2 linked regions of the Bombyx mori genome follow. The protein of the gene in region 2 interacts with the protein of the main gene of each other region in a pairwise test. Links are inferred from orthologs where the notes say so. Each region holds a gene or a part of one and is shown on either strand. Other genes may lie near its edges.

Region 1 (17,965 bases), on a different chromosome or scaffold from region 2:
TTTTTTATTTAATTAGAACTTGAGGTACATACGGTACTTTTCATTTATGTTTACAAGACAAAAACTGCAAGTCGCCTGTCTAAATGTGTGTGTTTATTTGGGTATTATTTTTTTAAGGGATTTTCTGATCTGGTAACTAAGACTTTTAAGTCATTAGGCGTCGATGCGCCACTTCGGTAAAGCGGCACGACACGAGAACCCTCTCATCGTGGCCGCCGGTAACTACATCCCCAATCCTGCGGAAAGAATGGAAAGCAGTCGACATCGCCCAAAACACGTCATTTCGGATCCTCCCGATCCACTAACGGTGATTTTAGGTACTTCAAGCACAGGTCACCGTTCTCGTCGAACCCGTCGCTTTCGACGAAGGGCTTGACGAGTAAATTAACCCTCAGACACAGCCCACTGGGTTTCTCGCCGGATCTTCGCAGTGGGTCGCGTTTCCGATCCGGTGGTAGATTCTACGAAGCACGGCTCTTGCTAGGGTTCGTTTTAGGAACGTCGTCAGGTTTGAGCCCCGTGAGCTCACCTACTAGGAAAAAAAGGCCGTACGCTTTTTCCAGATCAACGAACACCCTAGGCAGATTCCTGTGCACGTCATGGTATTTTTCGCACACTTGGCGAAGTACAAATATGGCGTCCGTTGTCCCGCGACCAGGTATGAACCCGAACTGGTTTTGGGTGATCTCACTTTCTGAAACTAACACTAACTATACTGAGATCTTAGAACTAATATCTCAAGGTGGGTGGCGCATTTAGGTTATAGATATCTATGGGCTCCAGTAACCACTTAACACCAGGTGGGCTGTGAGCTCATCCACCCATCTAAGCAATAAAAATAAAAAAATATCAAAATATAAAATAATTTAGATAAAGATTAGGGTAAATCGTAATAAAAGAACTTTTATGTAGCTCATTATAGTAAAGTATTTTAATAACACATATCAACAGAAAAAACTTTTTGTTACGTAAACGATTTTTTAGACCTCCAATCTAAAAATTCGTCTATATCATCTTCGTTTTCTGATTCACAATTTTCGTCTAAGCTCATTTGGTCCATTTCGTGTATTTTCTTTTTCGTCTCTTCTTTTTGTAATTCCAAATCCAGGACTCTGTAAAAAAAAGGAAATTAAGTTCATTACTATGTTGAATAATTTAAAATTATTTAATTTAATAAAATTTTAGGTATTTAAAAGTAAAATTTCAGAGTTGTTTTTATCGTACCGGGACCATTTTCTAATTTGTTCGTCGATTTCTTCTATTTGTCGCTCTGCAGTGGCTTCTTCTTGTTCACCTGCTATAATTTCAGCTGATGCACTAGTTTCTTCTTTTATTTCTTTTCTGAATTTTTCCCATTCCTCTTCAATTGGATCTTTATATTCAATCTTACGAACCTAAAATAAAATAAACAATTTTCAAAATAAGCATAACGAATTTTCTCTTACGTAGACGAGCGAACAAGCAGCGAACATCACACTTTGTGTTGGAGTTTAGCATAGATATCACAACGTGTATGTCGTCATCCACATTAAGATATGATGTAGAAATCTCAATTTCATTGAAAAATCGTTCGAACTGGAGCGCATAACCGATACACCGCAGAAATAAGTGGGACCTACCTGGCTTATTACCGAGTGTGACTTAGATGATTACATTTAGTGAATAAATATTTTTTCTCATTAAAATACAAACAAAATCAATTCAGTTTAGTACTGCAAGTATTTGCAACCCATATGGATCAATAAACTGTTCCCATATACAATTATGTCGGTGCCGGTCATCATCGTAACGTAGCGTGAAAGCAATGAAATTTGTATCGGTATGATCTTTTTTTATCGCTTGTATGGGTGCACGAGCTCACAGCCCACCTGGTGTTTAGTGGTTACTGGAGCCCATAGACACCTGCAACGTAAATCCGCCACCCACCTTGAGATATAAGTTCTAAGGTCTCAGTATAGTTACAACGGCTGCCCCACCCTTCAAACCGAAACGCATTACTGCTTCACGGCAGAAATAGACAGGGTGGTGGTACCTACCAGTGCGGACTCGCCCTACCACTAGTAATTACGCAAATTATAATTTTGCGGGTTTGATTTTTATTACACTATGTTGTTCCTTCACCGTAGAAGTAAATCGTGAACATTTGTTGAGTACGTATTTCATTAGAAAAATTGGTACTGACCTGATATTCGAACACCGGTGCATCGCTCAACACGAATGCACCGGACGTCTTATCCTTTAGGCCACGACGATCTTCCATAAAGTCCACTGAAAAATTCTCAGTAAATGACCACCATTTTACTGAGATTATATTTCATCCCATATATTATTTTTCATATAAAAAAAGTTTTCATTAAAATTAAAATAAGACTTGACCTAAAGGTCTTAGTTACCAGGTCATAAAATCCCTTAAAAAAACATTCTCAGTGTGTCATGGTAATTTGATAATGTTATTACGGTATTTTTTGCGATTTCTATGTACTATACTACAGTATTTTACGAGGTTTAACTTAATAAAATGATAGTTTGTTAACTTTGACGAAAGTGGCATACGTTTCATATGATTCTTTCACAAGTTTAAAAATAAAGCAGTATCGTTCGAAGCGTAAGATTTTAAGGTCTTTCAATGAAAACAAATTTAATTTTGTTGAAAAGTTTTTCTCTTATTAGACATAGATACAACATGGATCCTACAAGTATGAAAAACCTTATTAAAATATGCATACCACCTCTGGATAAAAGTAGTCATAAAGGGCAAGCCGGAAGAATAGGGGTAATTGGTGGTTCTTTAGAATATACTGGTGCACCTTATTTTGCGGGGATTAGCTCACTCAAAGTTAGTAATTATTCAGTATTCCGTTTTTGTTAGGTAAGACTCATACAATAAACAAAATTTCATAAACATAAATACATCCACATTCTAGGAAAAGAAATTATTCATTAATCATGATACTCAACCAAAAGTTATGTGTTACTCTGAATATGAAAACATCCAGTGTAATTTAAAACGAATATTGATAATAAAGAACATATTTGTTAAAATTGCAGGTAGGTGCAGACTTGGCACATATATTTTGTTCTTCAGTTGCTTCTGCAGTAATTAAATCATATAGCCCAGAATTAATAGTGCATCCACTACTAGATAAGCAAGATGCTGTTGAGGAAATATTACCATGGTTTGACAGACTCCATTCTATAGTTATTGGCCCTGGATTAGGAAGAGATTGGCAAACATTTGATATAATAGCAAAATTAATAGAAGTCATCAAGCAAAAGAAAATACCCATTATCATTGATGCTGATGGTTTGTTTTTAATAACAGAAAAACCAAACTTAATTAAAGATTTTGATTCACCAGTAATATTAACCCCTAACAAAATAGAATTTGAACGACTAAGTAATAAAATAGATGTACAGACAATGGGGAAAAATGTTACTATATTAAAAAAAGGGCCCAATGATGAATTAATAAGTCCATTTCCTGAGTTCACTTGGTCATTGGAGACTGGGGGATCTGGACGGAGGTGTGGAGGACAGGGTGATTTATTATCTGGAACTATAGCTACATTCATGCATTGGACTCTCGCTAATATTGATAAAATTAAAATACCAGATATATCTAATAATAAAATGTTAGCAGCTTCTTTGTCTTGTTATGCTGCATGTATTTTAGTAAGAAAGTGCAATGAAAAGGCTTTTAAATTAAAAGGTCGAAGTATGTTAGCTACTGATATGATAGAATTTATACATGATGCTTTTGAAGAATTATATGACCAGTAATGTTTAGTTTCTATAAGGATAGTGATTGTGAAATAATGGTTTAATGAAATTATCATGTATGTATATATTAATAATGTATAATATGTAATGTTTTTTACTCAAATTAACTAAATTATGTGCTGTGTTTAAAAAGCAGAAGAGTTATGAAGTAATATGTTAGTTGATATTTTATAACATCTAATATCTGTTACCTTTGCATCTAAAACTGGGTCATCAAAAAAACCTTCTGGTATTGGTACATCACTTGCAGGTTCCTCTTTTTCTTTTTGATCTGTAGTCTGTACAGGTTCATTAACTGAAACATAATACTATGATATACTGTTGGCTATCATCTCACTCTGAGAATCATTTTTAGAAATTATATTTCTAAAGAGAAGACTTATGTCTGTGGTTTGCACTACAGAGAAGTACCCAATGATATGCAGGCGAAGTAAAATGTCCCTTAGAAATAAGGTGACACTCTACAAAACTTGCATACGCCCCGTCACTACCTATGCAAGTGTAGTGTTCGCTCACGCGGCCCGCACTAACTTAAAATCATTCCAAATCATTCAATCCCGTTTTTGCAGGATAGCGGTTGAAGCTCTGTGGTTCGTCAGGAACGTTGAATTCCATAACGACCTGGACTTTAGAGTCCATCAGTAAGTATCTACAGTCGGCGTCAATGTGCCACTTCGCCAAAGCGGCACGACACGAGAACCCTCGCATCGTGGCCGTCGGTAACTACATTCCCGATCCTGCGGACAGAATGGAAAGCAGTCGACGTCGCCCCAAACACGTCATTTCGGATCCTCCCGATCCACTAACAGTGCTTTTAGATACCTCAAGCACTGGTCACCGTTCTCATCGAAACCGTCGCTTGCGACGAAGGGCTCGACGAGTAAATTAACCCTCAGACACAGCCCACTGAGTTTCTCGCTGGATTTTTTCAGTGGGTCGCGTGTCCGATCCAGTGGTAGATTCTGCGAAGCACGGCTCGTGCTAGGGTTCGTGTTAGCAACGTCGTCAGGTTTGAGCCCCGTGAGCTCAACTACTAGTTAAGGTTACACTGATATAGCCTCTCAAGGCTATCAGCTTAGGTAGGGAAAAAAAAACTTGGTCAAGATACTGCCCTGTTTTTACATTCTACCTACTACTATTCACTACAGCTGATGAGTTCATCCATAGTACATTTTTATCATAAAATTAGACAATTTTGACTGACATTTAAAATATCATATTCTACTTTTTTAAATTGTATAAGCAGGTGAACAAGCTCACTAAGCCTCAATTGTGATAGCTGCCTCAATCTTATAAACTGGAAAAAATTGTGCTTCTCATCAGGAATAGGTGTGTAATACCATCAGGTGATGGTATGGTAGCTTTGTGAGTAAATATTAAATTTGTTATTTTCTCAATAAAACTAAGGAGAAACAAAAATAGTTTTTTCTGTTCGCTGATACTCTAACAGGCTATTCAGCTATTCCCGAACGGGTAGGTGAGCTTACTCACTAACCCTGAGAGAATTTGCTGACACCAGCCCTAGCAAGAACAGTACTTCATTGAATCTACCATTGGATCGGAATTGCGACCCATTGAGAAGATCCAGCGAGAAACTCAGTGGGCAAAAATGGTGAGAAAATAATAATACCTGCCCCGAAAAAAAATCCTCAAATTGAGAACCTGCTTTTCTATAAATATGAAAGAAAAAAAAACCAGAATACTACCTCAAGGAGGTTATATAAAGTCAAGCTGAGAAAAGATTTTAAAATCAACTAGATTATACAGCTTTACTTATACAGTCAAATCATCAGAATCGCAAATTCGAAGATAGGGCCTGCAGGGTACGACATTTGTATTAGTATAAAATGTATAAGCATCATTTTATACACATGTGCATTTGTATAAAATGATGCCAGTGTCCCGGAGTTTGAATCCTACATGCAGGTATATAATGAAAGGCGCAAGCCGCGCGAGCCAAAATCAAACAGAAGAAGAAGGTATATAATGAAATACATACTTAGCAAAAGTTCATAATTGACTTTCATAGTGAAACAATAACACGGTGTAATAAAAATAAAACAGACAAAATTATGATTTGTGTAATTACTGGTAGTAGGACATCTTGTGAGTCCGCACTGATATGAGTACATATCAGTGCGGACTCACAAGATAATTACTGCTTAGTAAAGCAGTAATTATTTGATTTGAAAGGTGGGACAACTGTGGTACTGAGGCCTTATAACTCAGGTCTCTAGGGGGCTGGGTCTTATTTATGTTGTAGATGTATATGGGCTCTGGTAACGACTTAACACCAGATGAGCAATAAAAAAGACATAAAAAATTAACTCTATGCAGTATTTTTGTTCAGCAGTTCACCCTAAGACCTTTCCCCTTTCAGTTGTCGCTCAAAACAAATTCATACAACAATGTAACCAATTCTAGTCACTTTTAATATACCATTGACTAAGCAAGTTGTCATTCTGATATCAACCTGTTTATAGTTGGTTGTTTATAGCTGTTTATAGATAAACTTAGGTATCAAAAGTAGTTTTTTGTATAAAAATAGTTTATAGGTAAGTAGAGCTTAAAAACAAAATGTATGCACTGAAAAAAGGGGTAGAAAAAATTGTGGATAAGTTTCATTTTAAATACCTTTGTTTAAAGTGGAAAATTATTTGTCACTTTAATTGTTATTGATAGTTAAAAATTGAAGAAATCATAGTTTTGATAAATTCATTTAATATTTATCTCAGGAAAAGTTCAAACTCCTACAGCCTCTCAGTCTAGATTCACAGAATGAAATGAACAAATAGATAGAATAATTTTAGGGAATTCCTCAAAATCATTCTATTTTAAAGAATATAGCACTTTAAAGAATATGCTTGGTAAACAAATCTATTTAAGATTAAACTAGTTGTTAGTTTAACGTGAGAATAGTGTTGAAAAACATATGGAAAGTTTGTATTTCATAATTATCTATGTATAATCAAGCTAAACAAATCAAAACTCAGAACTATTTTTAAAATGTAATACAACAGAATTTTTTCATTATGAGATTTCAAGTACTCTAGTTAAATCATTTAGGACTAACCTTTTTCTGTTATTACAACAGGATTAAGTGGAGTTCTTTTAATTTCTTCATTGTGAAATTCTACCACACTTGGGACATCATTTTTGGGTTTTGTTATCACTGGCACGGTGCCTACATTTTTTAATATTCCTTTTATCTTTTTTTCGGGAGGTGCATCTTTTGGAGGACTGGAACTCTTGTGTTTAACTTTGTTGACTACAGTGAAATTATTCGTCAGTTCCTTTAGTTTCTTAGCATTTTCAATATTTTCTCGATGTTGTTTACTATTGAGATGTACTTGCCAAACATTTTCCGATCTCACGACGGAAGTGCAAAGCAAACAAGTGAGATGTCCCACATTATTATATCTTGCGAGAGGATGATCTAACTTTACTCGTTTGACATCCTTCTTCTTCCTTTCTGCCATCAAACGACGCATTTCTTCTTGAGCTTTCTTCTTTTCGATTTGCAACCTGAGTGCCATGTTCGTTTGTGTAACGCTAAATTGTTTTATAAACTAATACCATCAACGGAATCACACAATAATACACCAATTTTTCTCAGCTAATAGGCACAATCACTGTAATACATCTACATTATATTATGTGTTTAAATCTATTATCTAGTTTATATAATTATGTATGTACCATGACATGGGGTAAATTGGGATCCTGGGGTAAATTGGGACAAACCTGCGGAAGATTCTCAAAGTACCTGTAGCATGGAATCTACCTAATTTTGTTTATGTTAATATTTATCAATGTATAGAAGAAAAACCAAGTTAACTATGGAAGTACTAAATATGAGTTAAGTTGGTCCCAAAAATTCGTCAAATTAAATTGAAAATAGTGGTTGAAAAGTGCGTTTTAAAACAGCTTAAAGAACTTTTAAAAAAAGTAATATTATCGTTGTTTTTTCAATAAGATCACAGTTTATATAAGTTTTTAATACACCTGGAAATACCACAACAAACGGTAAGTTGCAATATTCTTATTTTAAATACAATATTTCGACAAAATAAAAAATGTATATTTTTTCCTTTCTTTTTGGGGAAAATTGGGACGTATGTAGGGTAATTGGGAACGAGATTGGAATAATTAGGGACGAGAAAACACAAAATTGGAACGCCAAAAGACAAAATAGGGATGGCTTGTTAGGGTTGTCACTGATATCTTATAATAGATTTTTTAGCCCTATCACTTAATTGCGTGATGTAAAGAAGGTTAATGTGTTTATCAGTTAGTTTATGTAAGTATTATAGGTAAAAGAAAAGTATATATATAATTACTTTTTTTTCGCGACATTTACCTTGTAATATCTGCCCGGTCGTATGTTCTTTATAGCAATAAAAAAAATTAAAAGTTAAAAGAACTCAAACGAATCAAAACTTTTGTTATTTCAGAATCTATTCACGCGTCGAATCATGATTTTGTTAACATTCAAAACGCACACACAAATAAAAACAGGCCTCAGATTTTAAATGTAACATTAATTAAAAATCCGGGATATCCAATTATGAGTGAGTGAATTAATTGAGTTTAGTTATTTAGCTTAGAAAGAATTTCTTTTATTTTTGTTATAATTGGCAGTAATCAGATAAAGCTGTTTTTTTATCTTATTCACCTGATCTTACTCTTGCTCAAAGATTATTTTGAAAATGTTGATTAAATAAAATTGTATTATTGCATTTCCAGTCCTTTTGTTTTCTATTTTTTATTCTATTTTATCATTTTGTTTCAGAGTTGTGATTTTTAAGGAAATTAAATAATAATTTTCTAAAATATAACATGCACATACTTTTTTTGATCATTGTATTGTTGATTATCATTCACGTCACATCGCTTCGGAATAGAAACCAGCTTCATTTACACTATGTTGTGTATTGTGCTTAAATTATGGATTGTATTCATCATTTCGGTCCATATAAATAATTATATGGCACCTACCTATATATCGCAGTACTGCGAGTTGACAACCCTTACAAATATCCCAATTTAACCCTTAACCGTGTCAATTTACCCCGGACGCTGGGTAAATTGGGACGGCCATTATTTTACCGATTATTTCTTTAAAATGAATAATTAAAATTATGTAACCGTTTTTATCACCTAGGTACGTTCAAGACTCAACTTATTTCTTTGGTTGAGCAGTGACTATTTAATTGGAACTATTTTAAAATTCAATCTGAAGGTCGATTTTGTCCCTATTTACCCCATTGTACGGTACATACTCCACTGAAGTAGGAAAATAGGTCTATGTAGGAAACCTATGGAAATGAAACGTCAACAAAACATTCGTGCCACTGTGACGTCATCTGACCACAAAACATGGCGGTTTTAGTGCTGTACAAAAGATTTCAATGTTATCAGGTTTTATCGATAAACGTTCTTGGCTCATTTTATTTTAAATATTGTTGAGTATTATTTATTTGTAGAATTAATACTTTAATGGGAAGTAAGTAGGTATATTGTTATGTGCAAATATGATATGATTTAGATGTGTGAAATCTAAGACAAGTTCGTCCTTCGAATTTGCCACTGATTTTACACTGATTTTATAAAGTTGTCGTTTGTCACAAAACATAAAGATATGGCGTAGTACAGTGCCATCTGCCCATTTCTAGCATGCTAAATGTTATTTTTCTTAGACTATTACAATCTATTTTAATTGTTTTGCTGACTCTAAAGTCCGTAACACACTACCGCAGCGCACCTCAAGGAAGGTGCGCCGCACCATTTGAATCACTTTCACTTGAGAGTGATTCAAATTTCAAACTTATCAAGTGACCGCGTGAAAAAAAAAACACCTACAGAACATTTATTCATTAATTACAAACGTCATTCCTTGTGACTTCCTCTCTAAAATCACTTAATTATTAAATATTTAACGAATTTACAATAGTGTTTTACTCACTGCGGAATAAAACTATTTTATTTAAATAGTTCCGAAGAGATTTTGTCGGTAGCCTTTTTCCCGAAATATTTAAACAGAATGTCTAAATATGTTTTGATGACATATTTTAAAGAGGTATTTATGATTACTGTCATGATCAATAGATTCCGACCGAAAAATGGATTTTTCGGATGAGGGCTCCATAATGAATTTAAATACATATAGATAATAGTTTTAGGACATCGACTTTCTTGAGATCCTATAAAATACGTTTTAATTATTATTTTTGTATGTTTTAAGCATGATAAATTATGAAATTTTATATAATCAATCATATTAAATCGATATCATAGTCAATAAATAATGTACAACCCAAAACAGACGGCCGAACTGACGTGACAATGACATTTGGCGCGCTAAACATGGCGGATTTTCGGCCTCATTAGACGGAGACGGAGATATTTACGTATATTCATGTTTCATTTTATGTACGCACTGAAATACTGTTATATTGTTTTCCTGCGAGTTAAAGTGCTGAGTAAGAACGAGATAGATATATGTTTATGTATGTGCCTTCAAAATGGGTGCTATTTATATAAGCAATTGTACGTATAGAACAATATGTCGTGTCCCAATGAAGTAGGAAACCTATGGAAATGAAACGTCAACAAAAATTTCGTGCCACTGTGACGTCATCTGGCCACAAAACATGGCGGCTTTAGTGCTGTACAAAAGATTTCAATGTTATCAGGTTTTATCGATAAACGTTCTTGGCTCATTTTATTTTAAATATTGTTGAGTATTATTTATTTGTAGAATTTATACTTTAATGGGAAGTAAGTAGGTATATTGTTATGTGCAAATATGATATGATTTAGATGGGTGAAATCTAAGACAAGTTCGTCCTTCGAATTTGCCAAGTAAACGATATGATGATTTTTAAAAGTTGCTACACTGATTTTATAAAGTTGTCGTTTGTCGCAAAACATAAAGATATGGCGTAGTTCAAAGCCATCAGCCCATTTCTAGCATGCTAAATGTTATCGTATTTTGAGTACGTGTTTTTCTTAGACTATTACAATCTATTTTAATTGTTTTGCTGACTCTAAAGTCCGTAACATACTACCGCAGCGCACCCCAAGGAAGGTGCGCCGCACCATTTGAATCACTTTCGCTTGAGAGTGATTCAAATTTTAAACTTATCAAGGGACCGCGTGAAAAAAAAAACACCTACAGAACATTTATTCATTAATTAAAAACGTCATTCCTTGTGACTTCCTCTCTAAAATCACTTAATTATTAAATATTTAACAAATTTACAATAGTGTTTTACTCACTGCGGAATAAAACTATTTTATTTAAATAGTTCCGAAGATATTTTGTCGGTAGCCTTTTTCCCGAAATATCTAAACAGAATGTCTAAATATGTTTTGATGACATATTTTAAAGTGGTATTTATGATTAGTGTCATGATCAATAGATTCCGACCGAAAATGGATTTTTCGGATGAGGGCTCCATAATGAATTTAAATACATATAGATAATAGTTTTAGGACATCGACTTTCTTGAGATCCTATAAAATACGTTTTAATTATTATTTTTGTATGTTTTAAGCATGATAAATTATGAAATTTTATATAATCAATCATATTAAATCGATATCAAAGTCAATAAATAATGTACAACCCAAAACAGACGGCCGAACTGACGTGACAATGACATTTGGCGCGCTAAACATGGCGGATTTTCGGCCTAATTAGACGGAGACGGAGATATTTACGTATATTCATGTTTCATTTTATGTACGCACTGAAATACTGTTATATTGTTTTCCTGCGAGTTAAAGTGCTGAGTAAGAACGAGATAGATATATGTTTATGTATGTGCCTTCAAAATGGGTGCTATTTATATAAGCAATTGTACGTATAGAACAATATGTCGTGTCCCTACTATATAGGTCTATGTCGTGTCCCTACTATATAGGTCTACTATGGAATGACACCACAGTGACATTGACAATGTACAGCATACGAAAATCATAATCAAATCTGCTTCCGAACTTTTTGGCGGGAGCGTGAGGCACCAAGCTGTATAAATAGTTAAATTTTGTCGTGGTTTAGGTTTTTTCAGATTTATTATCTATTTAGTATCTGTGAAAGTGCTTAAATATGGCTTCAAAAAGTCCACTGGAAAAGTCTCGGTAGATAACCAGCATTTTACTGCGAATTTATTTCATCCCACCTCATCTCGTTTAATCTAATTTTATCCTAATTGACTGAAGTCTCATATTAATCAACTGCATCTCATTTCAATTCATATGATTAATCATTTAGCTTATAGCATATCATTTTTCCTATAACAGAAAATGTAGATATTTGATAATTGAAGATATTTAGGAACGCGAAAATGGCAACGCACTTATCCAATTTCCAAACATAAAAAAAAACAAATATCTAGTCAATTTTAGCACGTAACGAAGGTAATTTGTTTTATGTTGTGATTTTGTGTTTTTTCAGCTGTAAGTGTCTAATACTGGTACCTTAATCATAATTAACTTTATTAGTACCTGTGAAAATATATTATTAACAAATTTATCAAAATGGCTGAACGTGGCTTCCAAAAAGTCCTTTGAACTTTCAATAAACAAACAACATTTACTGAAAGGTTTTTCATTTTATCACATCCTATACCTATGATATTGTCATATTATATCTCTCTTTATTAGGTAATTTTATCTCCAAAATCAATAATATTTCAAATTTCATCCCGTTTCATGTAATTTTTCATACAACAGACATGGCTTTGACATTTATTACGAAGTAGGTAGTATGAACTATGTTCCCTATGTCAATCTAAAAATTAATAAATTAAAAAAAGTTTTTTAGCCTAAAAATCTTACTTTGCTAAAGTTTGCTATTAAAAGTAAGTAAAGTAATAAAGTACATAGGAGTTATAATAAAATTATGACTTGTTTTTCAGTAAACGATAACTTTATAGTTGCCGCAAGAAATTTACTTCTAGATTATTATGATTATCATACACATAAAATAATAACATTATCAACATCGGAAGAGACCGAGAATGATTGCATCGTAGATATTACCGTTTCGGGTGATCAGAAATACATAGCGGTAATTACATCAATATCGAAAAATTTGGTAGTGTTTTCATCATGTCTTGAAATTCTCAAAAAGATAATCCTACCAAGAAGTGCCAGTAAAATAAGATTTACTCAGAATAACAAACACATTTTAGTAGCAGATAAATCTGGTGATGCTTTGTTGTATAATCTAGAAGATGAAGGAAAATCTGGTATAAAATTGCTGGGGCATTTAAGCATTCTTTTGGATATATTGCAAACTATTGATGAAAAATATATAATCACATGCGACAGAGATGAAAAAATTAGGATATCTTGCTATCCTAACACATACAATATTGAAACATACTGTTTAGGCCATAAAGAATTTGTAAAAAATATTGAAATCTTACCTAATAATTATAATTATTTGATAAGTACTTCAGGTGATGGAACTGTAAAACTGTGGGACTATGTTAAAGGACAATTATGCCACACAATTGATACAAATGATATAATTGATGATGAAAATTTAAAAGAAGTATTCATAAAACAAATGGATTCAGAGGGTGTTGAAATCAAATCTTTGCCAATTGTTGCTTTTGCAGTAACCAAAGTTAATAAACATGTAACTCTAATAGCTATTGCTCTTCATGGTTTGAATATTGTATTTATTTACAATTTAAATTTAGATGATTTCCACGGGTTTAGCCATAAATTAGAATATAAGTTAAAGGTAGAAAAATTGCCATCATCTTTACTATTTTTTGGTTTAAATCTTTATCTGTATGATATTTCAAGTGCTTATTTGACCATTTATAACATGTCAATATCTGAAAAGATGTTAATAGAATTTAATAAAAATATTGTAATGTTTGGAGATGTACAGAAAAATATAATTTGTAGTAATAAATTGGAATCAATTAAGGTTTTGTATAAAAGAAAATTTGATAATGTTCATGAATATCAAGAAAGAAAGAAACAAAGACTAGAATTGAAAAATAAAGACAATAAATGAATTAATGTTTATTCTATTTTTTATTATAATTACTCATTAAGTCTTACATGTTAGACTAAATTAATTAATGATTATGCTTGACTTCTGCGAGTCCACCACCTAGGAAAAGGAGGCGGTGGAACGGGAGAGGGAGAGCTCTTCTTCCCTCTCGGCGCCGTGCCACCGCCGCCGACCCGGGAGTTGAAGAAGGCCGTTTGTCCAGCTCCGGGCCCTATTAGGAGGCAGTCTCCTCCCAGTAATTGTCACGGTCGCCCTCAACCCCCTTAGGTCGCCACCTAAGGGGATTGAGGCTGCGCCGCACGCTACCGTCACTAGCGTGCTGGCACCAGGAGAACGGGACGACGCGTCGGCGGCTGCGGGTGCGGTCCGCATTGTCGTCGCTGTCGTCGCCGAACATACTGTGGAAGAGCAACCCGGTCGGTGGTGTATCGCATTCCAACCCGGCAGGTTCGTTCTGGCTCAGCGGGGTATCCCGGAACACTAGCGGCATCGCCCGAGCGGCCTGATAGGGTCGCCGTACCGCGGAGACCGGCGTCGTTGGTCGTCGACTATCGCCTTGACGACCCGTCGGTAGGGCGTCGTCGAGGTGGCGCCGGTGTCTGGTTGTAGTGTTGACCGCGGGAAACCCCCGAGTCGACCGGGTTCTGAACCCGGAGGGAGATCGGACGTCGGGTGTAAGAGTGCAGGGGAGTCGTTTGTGCGGTAGGGCCCTAAAAGTCCTTGCGCCCGCGGTCTGCTCCCAACAACTTGCAGATCGTCAAGTCCCACATATCCCGCGCGCTCCCTAGGGAGCTTACTTACGAACTTCCGTAAGTTCGTAAGTTCGGATCCGGCCCAAAAAAAGTCTGCCGGTCTGGATAAACGCGGCGCAGTGGCGGAGAGACTGGGCAGAATTTCAGGGGTGCATCCAGGATGACTCCCAGATATTTGACCTTTCTGGTCCATGGTATTGATTGGTTAGAGAGGGTGAACGGGGGTGATTGTAAAACTATGTAAGCTTGCTTTAATTATCATAATTTTAGATTGGGTCGTAAGCTTTAAATAATTCATATAATATGTAATATAATTATTTATAATAATTTTAATTTAATTATTTGGAGTTTGAAAATAGGTAAAAAATGAGAACACATTTTATCAACCATGTAGCTTTTATTTCCTTTACAACTCGAACAAGAAATGTGAAATGTGCAAGTTTTATAGGTTGTACAAAAATAAACGAAACCTAACTAATATTTCAACATTTTATTAGTTACGCTAACAAGTTAATCTAAGCATGTTTTATTTTAACAGAAAAAAAACCTATAAGTTCACAATATCACATTTCGCTAAACAACAAGGCTTGTATAGTTAAGTGCCCGAAAAGACAGTCATTATATTAATATAATACTCATTGCTTTTATTAGACAACCAGGTCAACCTGATGAAAGACTTCAGGAACACATAAACTTAGATATAATTTGTATCTTAATTCATCTTCAGGACATGTTACTCTTACAAACGCCATATAATTTCTAAATGCAATAAATACAGTATGAGCCCTACCTTAATTACCTAGATTTAAGCACATTTGCAAAATTACGAAGTTGGGAGCCAAGATTATCAACTTCATGTAATACGCTATCGACTTCATTTTTGAGATCCATTAAATCAGGTAAGTTTTTACAGTCAGGAACATTTAGAAGGGTTGTAAAAATTTTGTCCCACAAACTAACCTTCATGTACCTAGAAGAAAATAAACAATATAGTTAGGAAACAGGTAGTCCAATGATTTATAAGCAGTCGAAGTTAGTGCGAATTAATAATACGGTTAGTAATAATTAACATATCAATCTACATCTGACTAAGTTACATCAACATATGAATTTAGATGAACAATTTGTGATAAATTTTAAGTCTGCATTGTTTATAAGTTCGTATAATAACGGTGGTTGGGTGTTTTTTTTCCTTGAAAGACCGAGGAGGATATCTGATGATGAGTGGTCACCAATACCGCAGAAACAACTGAGTAGTTGCTCAGTACGAGCAGTTTGGATTCCGCGCCAGACACTCGTGCGTCCATCAAGTGCACCGCCTCACGGAGCACATCTTACTAGGGCTGAACAGGCGGAAACCCATTCCGACAGGAGCCCTCTTCTTCGATATAGCGAAGGCGTTCGACAAAGTCTGGCACAACGGTTTGATATACAAACTGTATAACATGGGAGTGCCAGACAGACTCGTGCTCATCATACGAGACTACTTGTCGAACCGTTCGTTCCGATATCGAGTCCAGGGAACGCGTTCCCGGCCCCGTCACGTCACAGCCGGAGTCCCGCAAGGCTCCGCCCTCTCCCCGTTACTATTCAGTTTGTATATCAACGATATACCCCGGTCTCCGGAGACCCATCTGGCGCTCTTCGCCGATGACACCGCCATCTACTACTCGTGTAGGAAGAAGGCGTTGCTTCATCGACGACTTCAGACCGCAGCTACCACCATGGGACAGTGGTTCCGGAAGTGGCGCATCGACATTAACCCCACGAAAAGCACAGCGGTGCTCTTCAAAAGGGGTCGCCCTCCGAACACCACGCTGAGCATCCCTCTCCCGACTAGGCGCGTCAACACCCCCGCCCCCGCCGTTCGCCCAATCACGATGTTCGACCAGCCCATACCGTGGGCCCCGAAGGTCAAATATTTAGGCGTCACCCTCGACAGTAGGATGACATTCCGCCCCCACATCAAGACGGTACGCGACCGTGCCGCCTTCATTCTAGGACGTCTCTACCCGATGATATGTAGGCGAAGTAAAATGTCCCTTAGAAATAAGGTGACACTCTACAAAACTTGCATACGCCCCGTCATGACCTATGCAAGTGTAGTGTTCGCTCACGCGGCCCGCATACACTTAAAATCCTTTCAAATCATTCAATCCCGTTTTTGCAGGATAGCCGTCGGAGCCCCGTGGTTCGTCAGGAACGTCGACCTCCATGACGACCTGGACTTAGAGTCCATCAGTAAGTATCTTCAGTCGGCGTCCATGCGCCACTTCGATAAAGCGGCACGACACGAGAACCCTCTCATCGTGGCCGCCGGTAACTACATTCCCGATCCTGCGGACAGAATGGAAAGCAGTCGACGTCGCCCAAAACACGTCATCTCGGATCCTCCCGATCCACTAACGGTGCTTTTAGGTACTTCAAGCACCGGTCACCGTTCTCGTCGAACCCGTCGCTTGCGATGAAGGGCTCGACGAGTAAATTAACTCTCAGACACAGCCCACTGAGTTTCTCGCCGGATCTTCTCAGTGGGTCGCGTTTCCGATCCGGTGGTAGATTCTGCGAAGCACGACTCTTGCTAGGGTTCGTGTTAGCAACATCGTCAGGTTTGAGCCCCGTGAGCTCACCTACTAAAGTTAGGGTTACGCTGAAATAGCCGCTAGGGCTATCAGCTTAGGTAGGAAAAAAAAAAAAAAAAAAAAAAAAAAAAAAAAAAAAAAAAAAAAAAAAAAAAAAAAAAAAAAAAAAAAAAAAAAAAAAAAAAAAAAAAAAAAAAAAGTTGCTCAGTTGTTTCCGCGTGTTGGACCCATAGACCTATATAGTAGGGACACGACATATTGTTCTATACGTACAATTGCTTATATAAATAGCACCCATTTTGAAGGCACATACATAAACATATATCTATCTCGTTCTTACTCAGCACTTTAACTCGCAGGAAAACAATATAACAGTATTTCAGTGCGTACATAAAATGAAACATGAATATACGTAAATATCTCCGTCTCCGTCTAATGAGGCCGAAAATCCGCCATGTTTAGCGCGCCAAATGTCATTGTCACGTCAGTTCGGCCGTCTGTTTTGGGTTGTACATTATTTATTGACTTTGATATCGATTTAATATGATTGATTATATAAAATTTCATAATTTATTATGCTTAAAACATATAAAACTAATAATTAAAACGTATTTTATAGGATCTTAAGAAAGTCGATGCCCTAAAACTATTATCTATATGTATTTAAATTCATTATAGAGCCCTCATCCGAAAAATCCATTTTTCGGTCGGAATCTATTGATCATGACACTAATCATAAATACCACTTTAAAATATGTCATCAAAACATATTTAGACATTCTGTTTAGATATTTCGGGAAAAAGGCTAC
Region 2 (17,189 bases):
ATCATAAAAAAAAAAAAAAAAAAAAAAGTAAACAGCATCCACTGTTTTGTTGCGGGCTGTATGAACCAGTTGCTGATGATAAAGAAAATTTGTGCTTTGTGCTGCAATACGGTTTATTTGTATGTTTATACACTTGATATTTTATTTATATGATAAACACGTCCGCTTGCGGTGAAAAGTAAAAAAAAGGAAGAGACTGACATCATCAATGTTGCCAGTCATATAATTTTATTTTCCATACTAAAATGTTGGAGTTGCCAACACCCACCCAATGACGGATCCAGGGGGAGGGTCATGGGGGTCATGACCACCCCCTGAGCTGGGTCCAGGGACTTAGGTGGACCACTAATTGAATATAATGATTTTATTTATATATTTTGTCACCATACAGATTTTATGTAACTACATACCTTTAATATTTAATTAATTTAATATAATATAATTACTTTGTATAATGGCAAACGTTTGAGAACGAACGCATCTAAATTTGACTATGTGACCCCCTCCTGGCGCCAAAGCTGGATCCGCCCTTGCACCCACCGGTCAATTTCTGCCGTCAGGCATTCCGGCTTGTAAGGTGAGGCAGCCGATACTATACAACTGATACTTGAAGCTATGTTTCAAAGTCAGTAGCGGCTTTCACGCTATGTTCCCATGGACTGCTATAAAAAAAAAACAGAAATAGTATCATAGTTATTTTGGCGAACACACAATAGAAACATTGTAACATGCACGTGCCGTGCAAAAATAAATAGACTCATACACAAGTGAACGAAATATGCATTAAACCCGCGAATAAACAGTACCCAAACCTACCCAAGCGCTTACTCATATCTAGGCGTGACCACGCCAAGACGTTTATAACTCTGACCGTAATCAGTGTCGGGTAAAGGATCGTATTATCAAAGATTTTACGGGAATACGTAATTGTGTTTTAACCATCGTGTGTTGCAGAATAATTGTGTATTATTGCAATCAAGTACATCACCTTAAAACGAAACAACGCTTATAGACTCTATTAGATAACTACGTGATTATAGAGTTTAGATTTCATTCCAAATAAATCCCGCAAAATTATAATTTGCGTAATTACTGATGGTAGAGCGTCTTGTGAGTCCGCACGGGTAGGTACCAACCAGCACACTGCCTTTTTCTGCCGTAAAGCAGTAATGCGTTTCAGTTTGAAGGGTGGGGCAGCCGTCGTAACTATACTGAGACCTTAGAACTCATATCTCAAGGTGGCTGCCGGCATTTACGCTATATATATTATGTCTATGGGCTCTGGTAACCACTTAACATCAGGTGGGTTGTGAGCAGGTCCACCTATCTAGGAATAAAAAAAAACACAGATATCCTACTTTACTATACCTAGTATATTTTGATGAAAGGTAAAATTTCATCGATAATGTCGTGAGCAGGTGTTAGGATCGTGGTCACTTACGAAAAAACAATACTATTACCAGGATCTTACCGTAAAGGTGCGAAACACAGTGTGGCAGTTTGACTAAAACGAACAACAATAACGAAACTAAATAGATCGATTGTTTTCATAAAACCGAAATCCCTCATGCTTTGTATGTACCTACTATTTATTATTCAGCGGGTTCTTAATTTTAATGAATACCTAATCGATATTTCCGTTTAGCCCGTTGAAGGGGCCCCGGTCACGGGTAGACTGTGGCTAGGATGTTGGGAGGAGTCTCATGATCTAAATAAGCGTAAAAGCTCAAAATGTTTCCTTATTCTACCAGGAATTCAGAAGACGGAAGCGTTTATTTTGGGGGCTGGGCGCGGATGGCGCATCCTATAAAGAGCTTCGCAGTTGTCGAAGTGGCCAAACCGAACATCGGCGAGAAGGCCCCGTCGAGGGTCCGAGCCGATGTCACCGTCACGTTGAGCCTCAGAAACGAGATAAAACACGAATGGGAAAACCTCAGGAAGCATGACGTTTGCTTCCTGGTAACCGTCAGACCTACACAAGGCATAGGTAAGGTAACTTTAAGAACCATTAAGTTTGCGAATACAATAAATTCGTCTGCAATTTATTTAGTTCATTTTTGTCAAGATTTTATCGTATACTAGCTTTTGCCCGCGACTCCGTCCGCGTGGAATAGTTACTTTGGCATAACGCTAAATTCTACCCCCACTTCATTTACGTAGAAAGTGAAAATATTTTTGAATTATAGAATGTTAAGGAGCTATTTAAACCCCTATTTTGAAACATTATTTATTGGTGCGCCACTTGTCTTGCCGTGATGTTATATAGCCTAGCCTTCCTCAATAAATGAGTTATCTATTACTGAAATAGTTTTTCAAATCGGACCAGTAGTTTCTGAGATTAGCGCGTTCAAACAAACAAACTCTTCAGCTTTAGAATATTATAGTATAGATGATTTTGAGAAAATATCGTGTTCTGATAGACTGCTTACGTTACTTTTAAATTTGTTTTTTATGCTGTTGTGATATAATTGTATTTATGTTGTCTATTTGTGCCAAGAAATGCTCTCCGAAATATTTAGACGACTATCACGGCGCCCCGACGTTTGGGTTTCCCCAATTTCTATGATGTGGTGTCGGGACTCACCGACTTAGAACGGAATCAAGGTCTTTCCCATAATAAATTCGAGGCATCTGTTTTTGAAATTCAAGTGCGCTTCTGTTTTTTACGTCCCGACCATCGACATTCCTAGAATCGATCCGATTCGTTGTAAGAAATAAAATTTAAATTATCTCACTGAGTAATACACGTGAAATAAAACGTGAAGCACATACGAGGAAATTGTTGCTCCAATTGCTCAAAAACTCTCAGAGATTCGTCATAGATAGTAAGGATAAGTGATGCGTACGCATAATGACTATGCCGTTCACCAAGCAATGGAGCTGTCTGAAAAAGGCAAGGGGACATTGCGGAACAATATATCCCGACCTCTGAATGAGGTCCGACTTGACAGCATGACAACACAGGATAGAAATTCCCAGTGTAGACGAATTAGAAGACCCAACCCCACCTAAAGTAGGACAAGGAAAGGAAGAAGAAGAAAGAATAAAACACGTTTTTTTCTGTTTGCGTATTATTCGTCCGATTGATTTGAAATTACATCAGTCGTTGATATCATATTGTTATAAGATAGTTCTCTCTACTATATAGACATATTCAGCTTCAGATTTGAAAATTCTTATAGGTACAAAGTATGACTACAGAAAGAGTATGGTGGATCAGGCGGGGATAGTGTACGTGAGGGGTTGCGAAGTTGAAGGTATGCTGGACGCATCCGGCAGAGTCATTGAGGACGGGCCGGAACCGCGGCCGGAGTTAGAGGGAGATTCCAGGACCTTCAGGCTCTTACTCGATCCTAACCAATACAGACTTGACTTGGACAGAGCTAGTAAAGGGAATGAGGTAACTATAACAATTATTGTTCAGGACTCTATTTTGGGTTTTGTACCAAACTCCTGTTCGCATCTACTGGGACCCAATCGTGGGGACCTTCTAGAAGAGACGGATGATCGCAAGTAAATAGTGGTCGTAGCCTAAAAGATAAGGCGCCTAGTGTACTCGTATCGAGCGATGCGATAATACCGGTGTTCAAATCCCGCATGTAGGTACTAATTTTTCTAACGAAATACGCACTTACTACATGTTCGCTAATGAATACAAGATGAAAGAATAACGGGGCTAATAAAATGAAATCAATTAAAAAAATGCACGATAATGTTGTGGCGTTTTTTTTTTATACTCTAGTGACCCCGAGGGGTCATACTAGATTTGCCGAATGACTAGGTGAACTCACATGGATCTGACCTGTTGTTGGGGCGTATTGTCGCATGGTAACACCGTCTAGTCTATTTCCGCCACAAAGCCGCCGTGAATTGAGGACATGAGTGGATGAAGGGGATATGATATAATTTGATAATTTTGCGAAAACGGGCATCAAATTTTTGTTAGGTACTTGTACTTTTTATTCGAACATAACTCCTTCATAACATGCAATTTCTAAAAAAAGCGTCTAAACCCGGAGTTTTAAGTTCTAATATGGTTTATAGACACATAACGCCTTCATTCAATGTAAAAACTCAAAATTCTTAAAAATGGTACTTAACCCCTTCATCCACTCAAGTCTTCAATTATAATTGAGACTTCACTCATCGTGGATGTCATTATTCAAAGCGTGATGTATTTGGTTACTGGTAACCGTTTAAATTCCAATAAATAATTGATTTAAAGTAATATGAAAGCTTTTACGTGAATCTGGTAACGTCTACATATATCTAACAGGAACAGCACTGTCTTTTTGAATGAAAGGCGTCCTTTTTATGTACCCCTGACAACGTACGTGTATGTGCTTAGTGATGCGCGATTTATTGGTTAAGGCGCGAAAGCGTCACCGATTTATTAAACCGATATAATAAATCGGTGACGTTATTTTAAAACGATTATCGCAGGACGTGTACGAGACTTTCAATATAGTTATGCGTCGTAAACCGAAAGAGAACAACTTCAAGGCCGTATTGGAAACGATACGAGAATTAATGAACACCGAATGCGTTGTACCGGACTGGCTTCACGATATAGTCTTGGGCTACGGAGATCCCGGTCAAGCTCATTACACGAGGTTCGTATATATTTTTTTTATATATGATTGAAAGATTACTGGTGGCCCGGAGGCCTTTCCAGTTTCACCAGGTGAGGTGGCCGAGCAAAGGCTCAGCCAGGAGGGGTGGGATTTGCTAACAACTGCCCGAGCGCCTCCGAAGGAGACCTAACAACTCAAGAGCAATAGCTTCGCGAATGAATCTACTACACGATCGGAATCGTATCTCTATTATCTTGGTAGTATCATGGTCATGGGAAGCGTGAGTCTGCGAATCAAACTGAAGATGGATTGAAAAAAAAAACACGTCTAAAATTCACGCGCCATAGAAGCGAAACCTTCCGAAGTGTTTCTATCTCATTCTCTCGCATGCTAAATCGTATAGATATATGTTTGTCTCTTTTCAGTGTCGCTTTTCCGTTTCATTGAGTTTTAAATTGTTAGGTTTATAAATAGTTTTATTTGTACCAAAGGAGTGATAACAATTGCTTTATGCGTTGAGGAGAGTGTTGTTTCGTTAAACGCTCTGTAAGATAGTTCCGACTAGTTATTGACTCGATGACGTCAGAATATTACCGTCTACTTTTATACCCAAGGTCTTTTTGGCCACACGAGCATCCTCTTACTGCATATATTCCCCTTACAACGATAACTTTCCACTCTTTACTTATCTACTATATTATATAAACTTATCTTAAAATGTCTTCATATTGAGACATTGATACCTACATTTCTTTGACACTGTGAAATGGATTTAACAGTGTCCAAGAAATTGACATTCGCACTGTTTGTTAAAAACTAAAAGTAAAAATCTTAAAATAGAATTCGTCATGATGCGTCAGAATTTATCTTGTTGAATTCCCAGAAAACCACGCGATCTGATGAAGCGTATGTACGTCAATTAGATACAATTACTTTTATCGTGTATTGAGTGTAGGTAATATATGTACATATGCGTCGTTTAATATGTATGTAATTTCATATTATATTAATGTAGATGAGAAGAAAATCTTACGATCTATTAGCATTCAATGAGTGCTCACAACCTATAGGCATCTTATAGGCATCACAAGATGCCGCCATCCGCCTTGAGACATGAGGTCGAAGACTCAATCGCATAACTGCTTCGTGGCAGAAAAGACCTGAATTTTGGTACCTAACCGTGCAGGCTTTCAAATACGCCTTATCAGTATACATATATGCTGATTTAAAATTGCAGTACGCTGGTATAATACTAAGAGAATGCTGGTATCTTTTTTATTTATTGCCCATGTAGGCAGACGAGCATACGGCCCACCTGATAATGTCTCGGTATAGTTACAACGGCTGCCCCACCCTTCAAACCGAAACGCATGGCGGGGTGGTGGTACCTACCCGCGCGGACTCACTAGAGGTCTGGTCCCATTTATCGGTATGAAATTCGTGACCGCAGTGTACTCCCACAGGATGCCGAACGAGATAGCTACTCTGGACTTCAACGATACATTCCTGAACATGGATCATCTGCGGAACAGCTTCCCGGGGTACGAAATCAAGGTGCAGACCAACGACCCAAGGAAGCTCGTCAGGCCGTTCAAGTAAGTTCAGAATTTACTTGCAGAGTGCATCCTAAATCTATACTAATATAACTATATCTATACTAATATATAAATCTACTGTGGTTTTTACGGATGTTCCGTTATAACTACTGAACCACGCATCCGATTGACTTGAAACTTGGTATCCATGTAGAAAATACATGTACCTGATGGATAGGCTAATATTTATATGAGTGTTGGACTCCTCACACCAGGGGTGTGAGGAGTCCTTTTATAGGCCTTTTTTGTTTGTATGTCTTCAAGTAGTTTCATACGGTCCACAATATTTTTTTTTTGTTTAAAAACAAAAAGGAAACAGATTTTCTGACTTAAGACGGGTGGGTCCACATAACCACAAATGAATAATGAACCTTTATCGTGTCCCTTGTAAGTCACTTTTTCTATGAGTTCTTTTCATAAATGCACGCGAAAAATTCGTTATCAAATAAGGAAACCGCTCATTGTAATAACGGTGTCGGTAGAAATCATTTTGAATCTGTTATGTTAATATTTGTGTGTGCAAATAAAATGCAACACGACTAAGGGAATAACAAAAAAATATATACACCATATTTTGTTTGTTGCTTAGATGGTTCGACGAACTCACAGTCCACCTGGTGTTAAGTAGCTACTGGAGCCCATAGACATCTACACCGTAAATGCGCCACCCACCTTGAGATATAAGTTCTAAGGTCTCAAGTATAGTTACAAGTTGTTTTGTGGATCATTTTTTTTTTTTTTTATTGCTTAGATGGGTGGACGAGCTCACAGCCCACCTGATGTTTAGTGGTTACTGGAGCCCATAGACTTCCACAACGTAAATGCGCCACCCACCTTGAGATATAAGTTCTAAGGTCTCAGGTATAGTTACAACGGCTGCCCCACCCTTCAAACCGAAACGCATTACTGCTTCACGGCAGAAATAGGCAGGGTGGTGGTACCCACCCGCGCGGACTCACAAGAGGTCCTACCACCAGTTTGGCGTCCCTTTGTGAGTAGCGGCCGGAGTTTGATACTACTCCTTGCCCTTGAGTGGCGGGATTAGCGACTTGACGACCTTGATTATTTAACACTAGACGGGTCGGGATCTCGTCCACTCGTTTATGCAATGGCCAAAGTCTAGTCGTTGTTCAAGTCCCGCGCATTCGTTGAACCGCAAACAATAGAAACGTTATGTGTCAATGTCACGTGCTTCTTCGGGCGTGACGTCATTGTAATACTGAGAATAAACATGGGCATTAGAGATTCATTTTCATACCTCGTTTTGATCTTTTGGAATCACGATGCTTCCGTTATCGCTATACAAATAAGTAATCTATATCTATACTAATATATAAAGTTTTTTTTTTATTGCTTAGATTGGTGGACGAGCTCACAGCCCACCTGATGTTAAGTGGTTACTGGAGCCCATAGACATCCACAACGTAAATGCGCCACCCACCTTGAGATATAAGTTCTAAGGGCTCAACTATAGTTACAACGGCTGCCCCGCCCTTCAAACCGAAACGCATTACTGCTTCACGGCAGAAATAGGCAGGCGCGGTGGTACCTACCCGTGCGGACTCACAAGAGGTCCTACCACCAGTAAGCAGAAATAGGCAGGGGCGGGGTTTTTATGGTTGTTCCGTTATAACTACTGAACCGTGCATCCGATTGACTTGAAACTTGGTATCCATGTAGAAAACACATGTACCTAATGGATAGGCTAATATTTATATGAGTGTTGGACTGATTCTGCCACGAAGCAACGAAGCATATTACACAATTCAGATTTAATATCTCAAGTTGTCTATGGAAATATAACTTTAAAATTATTTAATAAAAATAATTAACAAAAGCATATTAAGTTTTCAGAGTCGTAGACATAAATATGTAGACACGATATATCTACATAATCTATATATTAGTACGTGAAGCAAAAACTTTGTACCCCTTCTTACGAAAATTGCGCGGACGCATACGGAGTATGAAAGGGGATGGCCCATTTTAGGCCCAAAGCGGACAATAGATTATAGAAAAAATACTTAGTGCATTAATTTTGTCATAAATAAATATGCATTTATTTTCTTGCAAATAAGCGCCACTATAGTTTACAATAAGTAGTTTAAAAAAAGTAACTCTATTGAAAAAACAAGGATTTTTATTTTTGCGGGAAAAATATTGCCAGCTTCAAATCCTTTTACGTATGAAGTAAATATTTTGAGTATATAAATAAAACATATAAATAAATCATTTTAAGTACAGTCAAAACCGTTTACTGCGACATCGTTTAATACAACATGCCGGTTATAATAACCAAGAACAAAGGTCCCGGCTGAATGCCATATGACCGCCTTATTAAAAATATTGCTTTCTACGACATTGGTAATAACGACATACCTCATAAAACGACCACATTTAACTAATATTTCGGAGAATTAGATCTGTTAGAACGACCGGCTAAGCTGTATTGTAAACAATTTGAATAGGTATCCACATTTGTCTTCAATGGCTTTTAAAATCAGGAAAGAAAACAATAGGATTTAGTTTAGTGTAGGGTCTTTTCTAATTCTTAGAAACAAAACACGTGCATGCGGTAGTCAAAGCCCGCTTCTTCATATCTCTTCACTATTTGTTACTTATCTATACACGAGACGCACCAAAACTTTGTGGAGTTATTCGTGAAACTTTCAAAATGGCGCAAAGAAAAATAAAACAAATTAATATTGAAGAAAAATCGCGTATTGTATAAATATATTATTCCAATAATTCCCTATCGATTTGTTTGTACTTGCACGATACACATTAAACATCACCGGTTGTTACGACTATCGGTTTTTACGACTGAATATGAGCAGTCCCTTCGATGTCGTTATAACAGATTTTGACTGTATTATCATTAATCAAACGATTTTAATGGATTTTATGCACATAAAATAACATCTAAGACATACCCATTGGACTTTAACTTGTAACTATACTTGAGACCTTAGAACTTATATCTCAAGGTGGGTGGCGCATTTACGTTGTAGATGTATGTGGGTTCGAGTAACCACTTAGCAACACCAGGGTGGCTGTGAGCTCGCCCACCCATCTAAGCAATAAAAAAAACTTTACTAGTATTGTTATTTAAATATGTACAACTAAAACAAAAACATAAAAAATAATGTGTACTCGTAAAAAAAATATTAAGATATAAATCAATTATCGGTTATTTAAAAAAATAATCGATATATGAATTTCATGTAATTATTTTTCTTTATACTGACAACACTGAATTTAATCTGACTGACTGACACTTCGCTTGCTGCTTGTGGTGTTGTGCTTGCGTACAAAATGGATGTGTTTTGATTTTTCTTCGATTTATTATACTTTTATCAATAACGTTTCATACTACGACTAAAAACATTGTGTGAATTGTGGTTTTACCCTGACCGAGATTTAAAACCGTGTATATGCTCTCCTTTGCTATTTTTAGATGATACTAATTGTGTATGAAGATGAAGAAAATATAGATATTTAAAGAATTAAGTGTGTTTTTATACCCTATTGGATAAAAATACATTAGGAACATCTTAAACATTAAGAAAAGAAAAGTTCTTGAAGTATCTCACAATCCGACACTTATTTATATAGAAAATTAACCTCAAAACGAGTTTTTATTTTTATTGTATTTTTTATAATAGTGGCGTCAATTTCAATATATTTTTTAGATATCCAATACATTTAAGAATTTGAATCAGTACATTTTTATAGTAATATTTGATGTCCATCTTGGGCCTAGCACACTATGGAGAGTGGGCAATCCCCTTTCCCACACTTATATGAGAATATAGAGAAGTAGTGCAGTAGAATGTTAATTTTTTTTTAAATTATGCATAAAAATACATTAACTCAATAAGAAAAACATTACACACACAAGCATGCATATTATTTGTTTACTGTAAAAAAAATCTTATTGCTCATAGTCTATGGTCAAATTGAGAATAGATTAAACATTGTTTGTCTTTATTAATATTTGTCTAAAGTGTAGTCTTGACGAAATCTGTGATTATAGAAGTAAATAGTCTTTGACAGTAGAATCATAATAGTGTACAAACTTATAATTTTAATTAATTATAGTAGAATTTCGACGACCGCGGGGTCCACTAGTGATAATAACAACGCGCTAAATGATTAAACCGGTTAAGTAGTTTCAATATAATTCTTATTGAAATTCTTTATGGATTGTTTTCAGCATTTTGACTAACTTTTGTTTATCTTGCGTGCGGGTAACTCTAAAATCTGTCACTGTAGGATCTCGATTCTAAGGCCTGTTGGTGTTGCCAACGTTCTTAGAGCATCAATGTATTTTATCCGGTAGTCTGAAATTCTGATGGCACTGTTTTTCCATATGCTACTATACAAGTTCTACAGAGGGGACTATGTCATATTATGTCTAAACTTTTAATGTGTGTTTGGACATGGAAATCAACGATGATCGATTAAGGGTCGCCGCACACGGGCCACCAGCCGCAATCACAAAAAGCCGCCACCGGAATATTTCTTGTAATTTTCACACATTTTATATGTAGCGTGTAGCGGTCACCGGCGTCATCCGTGTGCGGCGAGTCCATATAAAATGTATGAAAATTACAGGAAATATGCCAGTGGCGGCGTTTTGTGGTTATGACTGCGGCGTGCAGCGGTGACCCTAAGGCGAAGTTGTACATATTAAAATGATTCGTATAAATTACCCGTTTAGGTTGACTTTCGAAAACGTCGTACGGAAGCAGCAGGTCGGGGACGCAGCTATGGACGAAGACGAACCCCGCAAAGCGATCATTGTCGAACCCCACGTACAACCGAAGAGGGGACCGTATTTGTACAACGAACCAAAGAAGTGAGTATCGATATTTTCTTATTTTGTTTTTTTTTTATTGCTTAGATGGCTAAGCTAATAAAGAAAGACAAAGGCCTGTTTACAGGATTACAAAAAAAAACGTAAATTATAATATATTTTTTAAAGAGCTTACAGTAGAGCTCAAGGCCACAAGAGAAACAATACAGTATGAGAATCCAACCTTATGATTCTTTTTTTTTTGTTTAGATGGGTGGACCAGCTCACAGCCCACCTGGTGCTAAATAGTTACTGGAACCCGTAGACATCTACGACGTAAATGCGCCACCCACCTTGAGATATAAGTTCTAATAAGGTCTCAGTATAGTTACAACGGTTGCCCCAGCCTTCAAACCGAAACGCATTACTACTCCACGGCAGAAATAGGCAGGGCGGTGGTACCTATCCGTGCGGACTCACAAGAGGTCCTACCACCAGTAATGAAGATGTTGACGCAACCTGCTTTAGTAGTCTGTCGTAAGTCTCGACAGCTCCGAAACAAACGATCTAATAATATCCCTTTATTTGTACAGGAATAATATACTATTCACTCCGACACAAGTGGAAGCTATACGTTCTGGAATGCAACCTGGACTCACATTGGTCGTCGGTCCACCTGGAACTGGTAAATAATGTTCTTGAAAAACGCTTTTTGTTTTCAAAGCCTTATGTTGAGGGGGCGGGGGTGGTGTCTAAGTCTTGCCTAATTTAAATGTTTATATATATATATTTTTTTTTTTATACTTTTTAAATAAATATTTACTAACAATCACGCCACGTTAACTGGTCCCGTGGTGAGTTCGTAAATAACTTTTGTTACAGGTACCAGATAACGGAAATAAATGTAATATTTTTATTATACACATACATATATTTAATATACATCCATAACTCTGGAAAAGACGTTTTTATATTGATCATACAAATATCCTCCATTGGCGGGATTCGAACCCGCGACCCCCTTGTGTAGTGACCATGTCACTTACCACTACACCAGACGGCCGTTAAATAAATAATTAATAAATAATTCACTCTCTGATAGATTCGCCTGAATTGCCATCACACATTTCATTAAACACTAAATTTAGTGCTCTTAGGGTCAACTAAAACAATGTGTTTGCATTATATTATTAATTATTATTAATTTGCAAGAACAATATATCATATTATAGTTAGTTTTTAATAAAAAGACATGTCTGTCATGTATTTGACACACACACACAGGCATGCATATTATTTGTTTACTTTTGCTTGTTGTTATTTTTTGCGTATCTTTTTAGCTTGTAATGTGTATTATGTGCCTAATATATAAATAAAAAAATTAAATATAATATTTAGCGGCAGATGGATGTGTAATCTCTCCCCTCCCTACAGGGTCTTGGTATGCGTTACCACGAGTGTTTGATTTCAGGTAAAACGGACGTGGCAGTTCAAATAATTTCGAACATATACCACAACTTCCCGTGGCAACGTACCCTGGTCGTAACGCACAGCAACCAGGCCCTGAATCAGCTATTCGAGAAGGTCGCCGAGCTGGATGTAGACGAAAGGCATCTACTGCGTCTCGGTCACGGCGAGGAAGCTCTTCAGACAGACAAAGACTTCTCCAGGTCAGTTCACGTTAAGCATATATTTAACCTGTTCCACTCCCGATTCCGAGGTAAGCCAGTACTAACTTTTTTTTTCCTACTTAACCTGAGAGCCTTGAGAGGCTATTTCAGCGTAACCTTAACTAGTAGGTGAGCTCACGGGGCTCGCACCTGACGACGATGCTAACACGAACCCTAGCAAGAGCAGTGCTTCGCAGAATCTACCAACGGATCGGAAACGCGACCCACTGAGAAGATCCGGCAAGAAACTCAGTGGGCTGTGTCTGAGGGTTAATTTACTCGTCGAGCCCTAGTCTATCCTAAGATAGATTCAATCCGACAAATTGTTGAATATTCGTGTAGCGTGTAAAGACTTATCGTATTATGGTCGCGCCCTGTACGTCCATCGCTTCGAAAGGCAAACGTACGTGTTCAAAAAACTTTATTTGCAAATCGATATTATCTATTTGATAGTTCCGTTTTTGTGTTCAACCAGTGAATACAAGTCACGCTTCACCGTGAGTCACGCCCTAAATCCAAATCGGATGCGTTTATGATTAATTCGAAGAATACATACGACATTTTAATGACCCTCCGTCTGTTGGGTCTGGGGGACATGCTTCGTCTATGGGTCGTGAGTGGATGGATGGACGAGCGGTTTTGGTTAGTCCACTTTATAACAGACCTCGTCGGCAGATTTCAACGCTTGATATGAAGAAGACGATTTTGCTTTTGGTCAATTAAAAGTTTTCATATGCCTAAACTGAACTGCGTAGGTGGTGGGACATTACATGTTTATGTGAATTTCCACAGCGCGACTGGTTTTGCTCAATAGTCCAACGGTTCGAATGATATTTCTCGGAATTTGTATTATATAATAAATGAAAATTCATTTTGAAAATGACGTCAGTCAACCATTTTGAAATTCTATTATATAAGTCACCGCTACACCTATGTGACGCTTAGGTTGTGACACAATTTTAAGTTTTGATTTGGATATGCCCATTAGTTTGTTTTCGATCATGAGCATCGGTGACCACTTACAATCGAATTTAATTATTAAATCAAAATGCAAGGTAGTCTCAATACCTAAATCCTTTTCCTTTACCTAATAACCTAAATCCTTTTCATAATCGAAAAAAAGGGTGCGTGTACTTATGTACGCGCGTAAGAAGTTATACTTTATTTTTATTAAATTTACTTCTTCTTTTTTTAAATATTAAATAATTAATAATTAATATTTAACGTTAATAATTTAATAATATTTAGTATGAATTATATTAAATAACTAGCTGACCCGGCAAACGTTGTCTTACCATATATAAGATTTCTAGAGAATTTCTAGTGTAGAAAAAAAAAAACTAACTTATTTGAAGTGTATAAGGATGTGGAATATGAGTGAAAAAGGCCTGGAGCGCTGTGAACGATGAGGGAATGTTGTTTAAAAATAACAAAACACCAAACATTAATTGTTTTAATTTATTAAAAGTAATAGTTATATATATAATTAATTCATTACATAATATTAATCTCTTAATGCTGCAGCGTGAACAATATTTTTTGTTAGCCCGTCTTTAGCTAATACAAACAAACTTGATGGTTTACCCACTTGAGAGCATGCAACGCATAATTGTCCGTGTGAAAAATATAGTGTGCTCAAATCTAAGCCACAAACAGACATTGTTTGGTCGTGGTATCAATATATTTTCACCTCGAATTTAATTGAACCACCTTTAATTGTAAGTTATGTGGTGGCATGCCTGGCAAATCCAGTGAGTTCAAAACTCTGTTGGAAAATTTACAGCTTCAGTGTCATCGCAAACTGTATCAATACATTTATATGATACCAAGTCCCCTGGCAATAACTGTTGTATCTTCAGATTTAAAATGTCAACGTCCACATGTTTTGCAGCTAACATTGCTCTTTCTGCAAGCCACTCGAGATTTATGTAATTCGTGTGTACATCGGGAAATATTTGTTCAATGAGAGCATCTTGCGAATCAATGATAGTGCAGAAATCATTCGCTAATTTTATGTATTCAGTTTCAGCTATAGTGACTTTTCCATCGCCGATATCTAAGAGTTGTTTTGAGAATGTTTCAGCGGATGGATCTTGAAGCATTTGAACGCGCATATTTACTTTCAGCTGTACTATTTCAACATTACGCCACAATGTCGATGATTTTAAACAGGCGTTGATTTCATCAGCGTATGTTGAATGTGGACTGACGGGAAGTGTTTGTCTGAAGTCACCTGAAAGGACTAACAGAGTGCCACCAAATAGTTTGTCGTTGTTTTTAATATCTTTCAATGTCCTGTTCAACGCCTCAAGCTAATGTTTGTGTGTGTACATTCATATTTTCCACTCTAAGCACCGCCATCTCACTGCCTTTATGGACATAATTGCAAATGTATTTGATGCTCTTCACAGAACTGCAGAACTCAACATTAATATGAGCATTGTATGTTTTGCTCAGCAGGGGCGAATATGGCACGACCCAACGATTGTCAATATAAATGTCTGTGTTGCTGATGTTTTTAATAAATGATTGTCTGCCATTATCTGGATTCCTTCGACGATATATTGGATATCCGTTGACATTTGTGATCGTATCGTTAGTGAAATCTTTAGGGAAATTTTTTGTACATTTTTCATCTGACATGCAAGGCGATGAACTAAAAATGTTTAACTACTACGCTTGAAGCATAAACACTAATAATAGCCGAAAACTGTAGAGGTAACATCCCTACTCCGTGCTGTTTACAGGGTGAGAAGTGACACCGGTAGACACATGGAGGGGATAACTTACCAAGTGATAATAATTGATGTTATCGAGCGGGATAGAAAATGATTAAATTACTAAAATGGCTATTAAAAAATAAGGGTTGATCGTAGAAGGGTGAAAATTGAGGATTGTATGTATTTTTGTATGTTGTATCATAAAAAAATATAAATTAAAAATTTTGTATAAAAAATAAAAATAAAAATTTAGGGGTGGACTACTCCTAACATTTAGGGGGATGAAAAATAGATGTTGGCCGATTCTCATAAATACCGGATAAGCACAAAAAATTTCATCAAAATCGGTCAAGCCGTTTCGGAGGAGTATGGCAACGAAAACTGTGACACGAGAATTTTATATATTAGATAATTTTGTCATTTATATTACTAAATAATACATACGGGTGGTTAACCTCAATTGTATTGGAGCACTTGTGGGCAACTTCATTTCTGTTAATTTTGTGTCACGGTGCGCGCGCATCGTAAAATTTCACTCTTATCAATTTATCATAACGCGCCTAAAGAAGTATAACTTCAATTATCTGTATGATCGTCGGTCTGTAAATGTAATAAAGATTCGGTTGATATAATCCATCTATAGCTAATGTTGAACACACACGTGTATGTTAAAAACGCATTGCATAGCATCTGTCGTACGTTTAGGGTTACCAGGATATGAAAATTCTATGAAGTGTTTGTTCAAAGCTTAAATCAGTTTTTCTTTTATTGCTTATATAGATGGACGAGCTCACAGCCCACCTGGTGTTAAGTGGTTACTGGAGCCCATAGACATCTACAACGTAAATGCGCCACCCACCTCGAGATATAAGTTCTAAGATCTCAGTATAGTTACAACGGCTGCCCCACCCTTCGAACCGAAACGCATTACTGCTTCACGGCGGAAATAGGCGGGGTGGTGGTACCTACCCGTGTGGACTCCCAAGAGGTCCTACTACCAGTGATTACGCAAATTATAATTTTGCGGGTTTGATTTTTATTACACGGTGTTATTCCTTCACCGTGGAAGTCAATCGTGAATATTTGTTGAGTACGTATTTCATTAGAAAAATTTGTACCCGACTGCGGGATTCGAACACCGGTGCATCGCTACATACGAATGCACCGGACGTCTTATCCTTTAGGCCACAACGACTTCACAAAACTATCGAATAACTGACGCACGACAACGAACTAACATACAACATTTAACGGCCGTCTGGTGTAGTGGTAAGTGACATGGTCACTACACAAGGGGGTTGCGGGTTCGAATCCCGCCAAGGGAAGATATTTGTATGATAAATATAAATGTATTTTCCAGGGTTATGGATGTATATTAAATATATGTATGTGTATAATAAAAATCTTACATTTATTTCCATTATCTGGTACCTGTAACACAAGTTCTTTACGAACTTATCATGGGACCAGTTAACGTGACGTGATTGTTAGTAAATATTTATTTATTTATTTATTTAAACCTATAAAAAATTCATAACATGTAAATATATCACAGAATAAATACACAAATCGGATACAAACATAATTGCTAAGATAATTGTACCTAATCTAAGACAGGTTTTCGGAATCGACGATCGTGAAAACCTTGCCTTAAATTCCGATTATAAGGTATTTGCAGTACTCCCAGGATTTTTAGACAATGATCCGAATTGTGCGATCATTCTACGACATACAGCGTTATTATTGTCTATAAAGTGATAATGGAAACTATTATTATAAATGTGAAAGTGTGTTTGTTTGTTTCATGTCGAAACGAAGCAACAGATTGACAT

The links.
Region 1: the proteins of RNA helicase aquarius (region 2) and zinc finger protein 830 interact in a two-hybrid assay, tested with the Homo sapiens proteins (2 studies listed by BioGRID and IntAct, with this or other methods). The link is inferred for Bombyx mori from reciprocal best matches to the Homo sapiens genes AQR and ZNF830.

The regions. Positions count from the first base shown.
Region 1 is NC_085115.1:6,211,030-6,228,994, reverse strand, and holds zinc finger protein 830, read right to left. Parts: upstream 7,481-17,965; 5' UTR 7,317-7,480; coding exon 6,854-7,316; intron 5,200-6,853; exon of another isoform or gene 4,076-5,199; coding exon 3,972-4,075; exon of another isoform or gene 3,781-3,971; coding exon of another isoform or gene 3,049-3,780; intron 2,837-3,048; coding exon of another isoform or gene 2,627-2,836; exon of another isoform or gene 2,404-2,626; intron 1,395-2,403; coding exon 1,225-1,394; intron 1,113-1,224; coding exon 965-1,112; 3' UTR 903-964; downstream 1-902. Other genes in the region: ATP-dependent (S)-NAD(P)H-hydrate dehydratase, read left to right, coding at 2,627-2,836, 3,049-3,780; tRNA (guanine-N(7)-)-methyltransferase non-catalytic subunit wuho, read left to right, coding at 12,689-13,822; mitotic checkpoint serine/threonine-protein kinase BUB1 beta, read right to left, coding at 15,370-15,544.
Region 2 is NC_085131.1:6,781,215-6,798,403, reverse strand, and holds part of RNA helicase aquarius, read left to right. Parts: intron 1-1,751; coding exon 1,752-1,987; intron 1,988-3,182; coding exon 3,183-3,400; intron 3,401-4,443; coding exon 4,444-4,613; intron 4,614-6,037; coding exon 6,038-6,169; intron 6,170-10,892; coding exon 10,893-11,030; intron 11,031-11,560; coding exon 11,561-11,652; intron 11,653-12,438; coding exon 12,439-12,637; intron 12,638-17,189.